Callithrix jacchus: one gene and its partner. The protein of the gene in region 1 interacts with the protein of each later gene in a pairwise test. Links are inferred from orthologs where the notes say so. Each region holds a gene or a part of one and is shown on either strand. Other genes may lie near its edges. The genes, in order: PRKAA2 and CCNB1IP1.

Region 1 (3,821 bases):
CTCAGAAAAAGAACAAGAGGGAAAGGCATATCTGAAATGGAAAAATGCCCTCTCCACACACATATTCAAATAGAACTAAAATGAAATTGAGCACTTATTTTTAAGAAGAGTAAACTTTGGGCTGAGAGTAAGGAAAATGTACTAGAAGCATTAAAAGCACGAGCCAAATAAGAGAGAATATCACAATTTAGAGAAAAGTGTTTATTGACTGAATAAATATGTGTGATGGTATAATTTGTATTGATTACTAGCTATCACAGCCACCTGCCTCTGTCCCCTAAAAAAGAAAAAACCTCCCTAAAAAAAGAAGTAAAAACATACTATCTTTGAAGACACTCATGATTTTCCAACGCTTTGATGCATGCTGAAACCAGTAATCTGTTTTCTCAGATGATTTCTAGTTGATTACTTTTTTCTTGACCAAGAACACTACACTATAATTCAAAATGTTGGTTTCCAGCATCAACTGGTTTTCATCCTTAGAGGTTATTTTTTTGTTTGTTTTTAATGTGCATGGTATATTACTAGAAAAAACTGCACTTAATACTCAACTCAGCAGCTCAGAGCAGCTTATCATATAGAAAAATGGCTTCTACAAATGATCCTAATACATTGTAATTTCCTACCTTCCATTCAAAATCCAGTTGCTTCATAGCTCGGTAAACTTCAGCCATAATGTCATATGGTTTGCTCTGACTTCGGATTCCAAGATGCCACTTGGCTTTTTTCACAGCTAAAGATTTGGGCTTAGTTGTATTCAGTGCATCCAATGGACATCTTGCTTTGGGGCTGTCTGCTATAAGAGGTGGCATCCTTTCTGGATGAGGTTTCAGGCCTGGAGGAATATGCATGGCACTATCATCCATAAAAGAACCAGATGGAGGACTAGAAGCGAGGTAGAACTCACTGGCTTGATTCATTATTCTCCGATTGTCAATGATAAGATGATAAGCCACTGCAAGCTGGTCTTGAGGGTCACCACTATATAAACTGTTCATTACTTCTGATTCTGTACACTCAAATTTTTCACACACTTCTTTCACAGCCTCATCATCAATGACATTAGCATCATAGGAAGGGTCTTCAGGAAATAAGTAACTGGGCAAATCTTGTTTAAACCATTCATGCTCTCTAGGAAAAACACAATACACTATTGTAAGACATGCTTTGGCAAGTCCAAATAATTTAGACATAGGGCAATACAACATAATACAACCAAAAGATCTGGTCTCTATACCTAGCTCTGCCACTTACTAGCTATGTAACCCTGAGCAAGTTAATTACCCACTACCATTGAATAACTATGGTTATAAAGACTTGGGCATTCAGATGACATTCTCTCAAAAATGAAAAAAGCAAGGCCATCTCTTTAAGGAAAACAACCAGCAATATTTGTTGCCAATGATAAAATTCAAGCTTTCAATAAAAACTTTAAAATTTTGTATTATTTGTATGTGTTTAACAGCTTCCCAATACTTAAAGACTTTCTGATAAAGTTGGTGTTAATAAATGTTTTCCTTTTCCAACCACTTATCTGAGATCATACCTTCTTTACACACTTCAACTACACGAAATAATGCAACAGATTGAATGAAGAAGGTATGAGAACCTAGCTGTCTTTGATATAAAATAATGTCTCTTCTCACAATTATTTTTTGTTTTGGAAGATATAGTTATTTTTCATGAAAGATGTATTATTTAACATATAGTGGTTTATATTTTTAAATAAATTAAATGTTTTCTTAATTTCTCAGTTTTAATTGTAATATAGTAAATATTTATAGATATAACCTACATTAAAATAAATCCCCCTTGAGGTCCTCAATAATTTTTCAGAGTTACGGAATTCTAAAATCAAAAAGTTTGAGAACTGCTTTCTTAAGCCATATTTTCTCACGCTTCTGGGGCTTTGCACTTGATGTTACTATTGTTATCCTAGAATGTCAAACCCTTTTCATCTAATACAAACTACTCCTTCAAGATTATTCCTACCTGGTAGAACTGGGCTTCCCATAAGATAAATGCAGATGAAGATATATTTTGACTGAATGTCCTCTATTCACTGATTAATTTATTCATAAATATTTACTGAGGAAATACCATGGACAAAAAGAAATACTGTTCCTCACAAAGATTATATTTTAGCTGAATAGAGATTAAACAAATATACATGAAAATATAGTTACAAATATGCAAATCCTGAGAAAAATATTGGAGAAGAAATTGCATAGAGTAAAATGAGAGTGTTTAATTTAGAATGAGAAGTGGGTGATCAGGGAAGCCACTCTGAGTAATATTTAAGCAGACACTAGAATGATCAGAAGTCAGCTATGCCAATAGTTGGGGAACAGATATTCCCAGCAAAAGAAACATTATGTGCAAAAACCATGAGACAAACAAGAGTTGTGCTGTGCTCTAGGAACTGGAATGAGCTCAACATCATGAAAGCAGAATGAGTTGAGATGAGTGCCAAATGAAATCAGATACTTCTAAGAATTGGAGGCTATAAAAAGGAAATCTCACAATTTGAACCGGTGGTTGATAAAAATCATTGAAGGATTTTAAAGAGATGGGATAATATAACCTAATTATCCTTCTGTAAAGATCATTTTGTTTGTGGTATAAAAACTGAATTGAAAAGATAAAAATGTTGATGATGATGATGACGCTAGTTGCAATAGTCCAAGTGAGAAATGATGGTGTGTCAACCCCTGAGGATATGTACAAAGATAAAACTTCTACAGCTACTAGATTTTTCTATCACAACACATTCTTATAGTTGTTTTTTCTTGATCTTGCCCACTAAACTGAGAGCTTCTTGAAATAGTGACCACACCTTATTTAGCTCTATCCCACTATGTAGTACAGAGTAAATGCTCAATAAATGCTGAATAAATATATGAATAGACAAAGTATGAACACAAAAATTCATTCATGTGTTTATTTGCTATACAATAATATTAAGCACCTATTAATGTTTAGCAATAAAAATAACTGAGATAGATCTTTTCTATTTTTTTTTTGTTTTTTTGAGACAGAGTCTCACTCTGTTGCCCAGGCTGGAGTGCAGTGGTGTGATCTCGGCTCACTGCAACCTCTGCCCCCTGGGTTCAAGTGATTCTCCTGCCTCAGCCTCCTGAGTACACGGGATTACAAGTGTGCACCACCACACCCAGCTACAAAAGAAGTAACAAAAGACAAAAAAATTATGTTACTTGTCTAATTTTTTTTTGAGAATTTTTTTTATTGCCTAATATTTTTTAAATGACAAGTAGAGAAGTTAAACACTTTCACCAAAATAAACTCAAAAAATCTATTATTTCATAAAACAAAATACCAGTAAAAACAGTCTAAGTCAACTTTTTCAGAACCCTGGAAATTAATCAAAGGCTTGCAACAATCTGAAGACTGTCTATTCAAGAAAAATGGCTGAATTTCAGTAAGAAAGGTGAGATTTGTGGCTTTTTAAGTTGTCCTATGTCCATTTCCCTTTGTCCAGTTCCATGGCAGCCTTGAAATGCAACAGCCTCATAATCACAGAGCTGAGAAAACCAGGAGCTTAACAACCACTGGGGCATTGGGGTGGGGAAAACAGAAGAACAGAATAGTATATAGCTGCCCAAAACTCCGACCATAAGAGAACTGTCATTATCTTACTTACCTACCAGTTCTCTGGAAATCTCCCACTCACAAGCCTGGTTTTTAGGTGACCTGACTCAGAGCTTACTCTCACAAACAGCCTTCTCCCCAGGGCACTTGCTTAAAAAAAAAAAAAAAAAAAAATCAATGGCAACTGTCTAACATCCTAACATGCCTGAAGC
Region 2 (4,531 bases), on another chromosome or scaffold:
ATTCCTGGTTTATAGTAAACATTCAAGAAATGTTTTGACTTTGAAAGTTACAATAAATCACTTATGGAACAACAAAGTAGCATTTGATGTTAAATATTGGGAAATTTGGGGCAGTTAAACTCTAAAGTGGATTGGAATAGGTAATAATTTCTAGTAAGGTGGAAGCAGGGTGAATAGGATGAAATTATTTAAAAATGAGAACTGTGAGTTAGAATTGTATCATTTCTTCTTAGAATTGTATACCTTGAATCTTTATACTTCAAATATTTGCACATTACATGTATATTTGTACCTATAACATATATTTGTATATGTATTCCCTATTATATACTATAATGGTACTTATTAATACTACTAATACTAATGATGATGAATATTGTGCTAGTGAGTCCTCTAATTATGGCTTAAAAAGAAATCTTTCAGCTTGGGCACCATGGTGAAACCCTTTCTCTACAAAATATACACAAATTAGCTGGGTGGGGTGGTGCACGCCTGTAGTCCCAGCTGCTTGGTGGGGTGCTGAGGCAGAAGGATTGCTTGAACCTGGGAGGTCAAGGCTGCAGTGAGTCGAGACTGGACCACTGCACTCCAGCATGGAACACAAAGTGAGACCCTGTTTCAAAAAAAAAAATTTTTTTTTTTAACAGACTAAGAACATACACTTTAACTGGAGGAGGATGTTAGGAGTCAAAACAATTGCTTAATCACTTATGTCCTCAGCACTGAAGGTCATTGTTTTGGTCTGGAGGTGTGTAAAATGTACACTTTGCTCTCTAATTGTTTATAGTCTACTTGGGAAGATAAACCTAACAAGAAATATGTAATAACAATAACGGCTAACATTGTTGAGTACTATGCACCAGCCATGGTACTGAGTATATAAATTATTTTACTTAAAACTCACAACAATCAGAGTAGGAAGATTTCATAATTTTTCCCTCTTTTATAGTTGAGGAAACTGAGGCTTAGATATGTGCAAATAAGTGGCAAGTTTCGGATTCAAAATCAGCTAAATTTTATTTAAAGCCTAAAATACTTAACCACCTATCTTTTATCTACTAAGCTTGTTAGTTCAAAGATTACCTGAAGGTAAATTTTATCAATACAGCTTTGGATTTTGGGGAAAAAAAAATGAAGGTAAATTTTAACTTGAATAGATCTAGACTGTTTATAATGGAATTTGTTGCCTAGCATCAATTGTGACCATACTGAGGTCACAAAGGATAAGAAATTACCCTTAAGAGATGAAAATTCTTTGGAATAGAATGCAGTAGCCCACACAAACAGGAATGTGCATAAATAGCTTAAATTAGCCTGTGTTTGCATAAGGACATTAACTGGAAAGGAAACTTGGTTTAAGAAGTTCACTTTAAAAATTGTGCAAGAAGCATCACTGGTCCATAAAGAGAGAAGGGTGGAGTGGGTTACGTCATTTCAGCACCTTTTAAGGTAAAGGAGGAGGGAATCCTCTTGAACTCATTAGCCAATTAGGTTCTGAAGACGCTTCTTAAGGCCACTTCCTGTCTCTCCACTTTCTTTCCCTCTCCGTTTTGGTGGGCTGGTGAGTGTGCACTTAGTTTTGCGCTCTTTAACTGTTTTGAATTTCTCTTCATTTATGCCATATACCCAACTGGCAGGCCTTTATTTCAAGCCGGCATTGGAGTGTGTGTGAGTCGCAAGGCGATTAATTTAGGCTCTGTGGAGGTTGGAAGAAGACAGTGAAATGCTCTGCCTGGCTTGTTTCCACGTGGGCCTCTGCAGTACTGGGGTTTGCCTTCTTTCTCTGAGTCCCGGTGACCCAGGAACAATAGACTCTGCTTCATGTGCACAGTGCGTGTGTTCTTGGAAACGCCCAGCTTTATTTCGCTGGGAGGGAGAAATACTGTTATCATCCCAATGCTGTTTTGATTTGTATCTCCTTGGGTGAGGTCAGATCTTGGGAGAAGGCGTTCAGCTCAGTAGATTTTAATTCTCCGGAGAGTGTCTAGGAGGGACCGGGACCTTACTGGGTTTATGAAAGCTGCAGCGGATCTTGTCTTTTTCCTGGCCTTAGCTCAGATCTTTTCGGCTTTCTTGGTGAACCTGGGCAGCAAACTCTGAAGACAGATAAGCCCTAAGAGGAGCTCGTAATTTTTAATGTTGCCACAGTGGTGAATGTGGCCTAAAAAGCTATGGAAAAAGATCCGGGGACCTTAGTTTCGGGCAAGCCTGTAGATTCAAATTCCAGCGCCACAGTTTACAGCTCTGGTGACCTTGGGAGTGGCAGTGAGCCATTCCCAGGCTTAGCTTTCCAAGATCAGATAAATATATAAAAACTAGGCCCTACGTGGTATGTAATAAATGTTAGGTACCTTTAGAAGTAAGCAGTACTTATTTATCATAGTATTTTGGATATCTGTTTTCTCATAAAAAGTTTTGTCTAGCGACCTCGAATGTAATTTCACTGCATTTCTTTTGATACATGTTAGTTTTTATATGATATATGTGTTGGGTATCCTTATAGGTAGAAAGCATGAGAAAGACAAATAAACCAGTTAATTGAATGTAGTAATAGGCATTTGCAGGCCTCCCATAATTTTTATAATTCTCAAGCAGTTATAATTGATTTTTTGAATAGGTAATATATTCACATGGTTCAGAATTCCAAGGAAATCAGTTTCTTATCCCCTTCCCTAAGCCATCCAATTCCTCTCTTGCATAACAGTGTTACTAAGATATTTTATGCATGTAAGCAAATATGTGTGAGTATCCTTCCCTTTTTCTATATCTACTCTACTATATGTCTTACTTTTTCCACTTAATAAGTAAGTGTCCACATTCTTTATAATGGTAACAGTATTCTCTAAAAATTTTTTTTCAAAAAATATTTTTTATTTCAAAAGGTTTTTGGGGTATAATGGTAACATAGTATTCTACTTTATGTACATGGCATAATTTATTTAGCTTTTATCAGTAGATATTTAGATAATTTATGATCTTGATATTTCTCCCTAAATGAATGGCTTTGCAAATAAGTCAGTTGGCATATAGGCATTTCAACTGGGTTTTAGCATATTCTTGTTTAAAAGGAATCTAGATATTTTGCAGAGCTTCCTATTTATATTTATTTAAGTACACATAGTGGTGATTAGAAACTAATCAATACTTTAAATGTCTTGATTGAACAGTAAAGGATTTTCTACCAAAAGCAGGATCATCTTGATGGGGTTTTTTTTTTTTTGAGACGGAGTTTCGCTCTTGTTACCCAGGCTGGAGTGCAATGGCACGATCTCGGCTCACCGCAACCTCCGCCTCATGGGTTCAGGCAATTCTCCTGCCTCAGCCTCCTGAGTAGCTGGGATTACAGGCACGTGCCACCACGCCCAGCTAATTTTTTGTATTTTTAGTAGAGACGGGGTTTCACTTTGTTGACCAGGATGGTCTCGATCTGTTGACCTCGTGATCCACCTGCCTCAGCCTCCCAAAGTGCTGGGATTACAGGCTTGAGCCACCACGCCCGGCCCATCTTGATGGCTTTTATGTGGGTATATATTTATCCACTTTGGTTTGACTAGGGGATGGTTTATCTTGTTATGAGCACAAGTTTTTTTTAAAATCTTTTTTAATTGTATTTTTTTGAGCATATGTTTAATGTTGGGAAGGAGTGACAGCAGTGGCCGAGAACAGCCAAGTCATCTGTATTCAAAGAGACAGAAGGGGCATACTTTCAATGTTTTCTTAGAAAATGTGTGCTGGATATGCCCCTCAACTTACGGTGTTGAGGGAGTAGACCCATTTTAGTATTAAGTTAGGAAAAGCTGAAATATGTTTTAGGATATAGACATGCAAAATAAAAAATGAGACTTTGGGAATTTCTCCAAAGCTGTTTCAGTCTTTAGTTCTGGTTTTTTAGGTGGTAATTTTGTGAGTTGGGAAAAAATTAGGTTCTTTCCAATGGAAGCTTCCTTTTGTTAAGAAATAACTTTATGGCGAGGCACGCCTGTTAATCCTAGCACTTTGAGAGGCCGAGGTGGGCGAATCATGAGGTCAGGAGTTTGAGACCAACCTGGCTAACATGGTGAAACCCTGTCTCCACTAAAAAGACAAAAAATTAGTTGGGCGTGGTGTTGAACGCCTGTAATCCCAGCTCCTGGGGGTGCTGAGGTGGGAGGAGGAGGTTGTGGTGAGCCGAGATCGTGCCATTGCACTCCAGCCTGGGCAATGGGAGCAAAATTCTGTCTCAAAAAAAAAAAAGAGACACAACATCTTGGAGTTGGAAGGGCCCTTATGAGTACTATATGAGTGGCCTTTCTGGCTTCTGGGCTATTGTCAGAAGAATGAATTTTTGTTTTTGTTAAATTTGTATTTATTGTAGATTCATGGGGTACAGGTGCAGGTTTGTTACAGGGTATATTGCACGATGCTGAGTTTTGGGCTTCAATTGATCCTGCCATCTAGGTAGTAAACATTGTACCCAAAAGAAGTTTTTCAGCTCTTGCTTCTCTCCCTCCTTCCCTCCTTTTGGAGTACCTAGTGTTTATTGTTCCCAACT

The links.
Region 2: the proteins of PRKAA2 (region 1) and CCNB1IP1 interact in binary tests that used the Homo sapiens proteins (3 or more experiments, as listed by UniProt). The two-hybrid records come from large-scale screens. The link is inferred for Callithrix jacchus from reciprocal best matches to the Homo sapiens genes PRKAA2 and CCNB1IP1.

Annotation. Positions count from the first base shown.
Region 1 is NC_133508.1:93,780,891-93,784,711, reverse strand, and holds part of PRKAA2 (5'-AMP-activated protein kinase catalytic subunit alpha-2), read right to left. Parts: intron 1,132-3,821; coding exon 627-1,131; intron 1-626. UniProt on the Homo sapiens protein: Catalytic subunit of AMP-activated protein kinase (AMPK), an energy sensor protein kinase that plays a key role in regulating cellular energy metabolism.
Region 2 is NC_133509.1:55,055,255-55,059,785, reverse strand, and holds the start of CCNB1IP1 (E3 ubiquitin-protein ligase CCNB1IP1), read left to right. Parts: upstream 1-1,535; 5' UTR 1,536-1,561; intron 1,562-4,531. UniProt on the Homo sapiens protein: Ubiquitin E3 ligase that acts as a limiting factor for crossing-over during meiosis: required during zygonema to limit the colocalization of RNF212 with MutS-gamma-associated recombination sites and thereby establish early differentiation of crossover and non-crossover sites.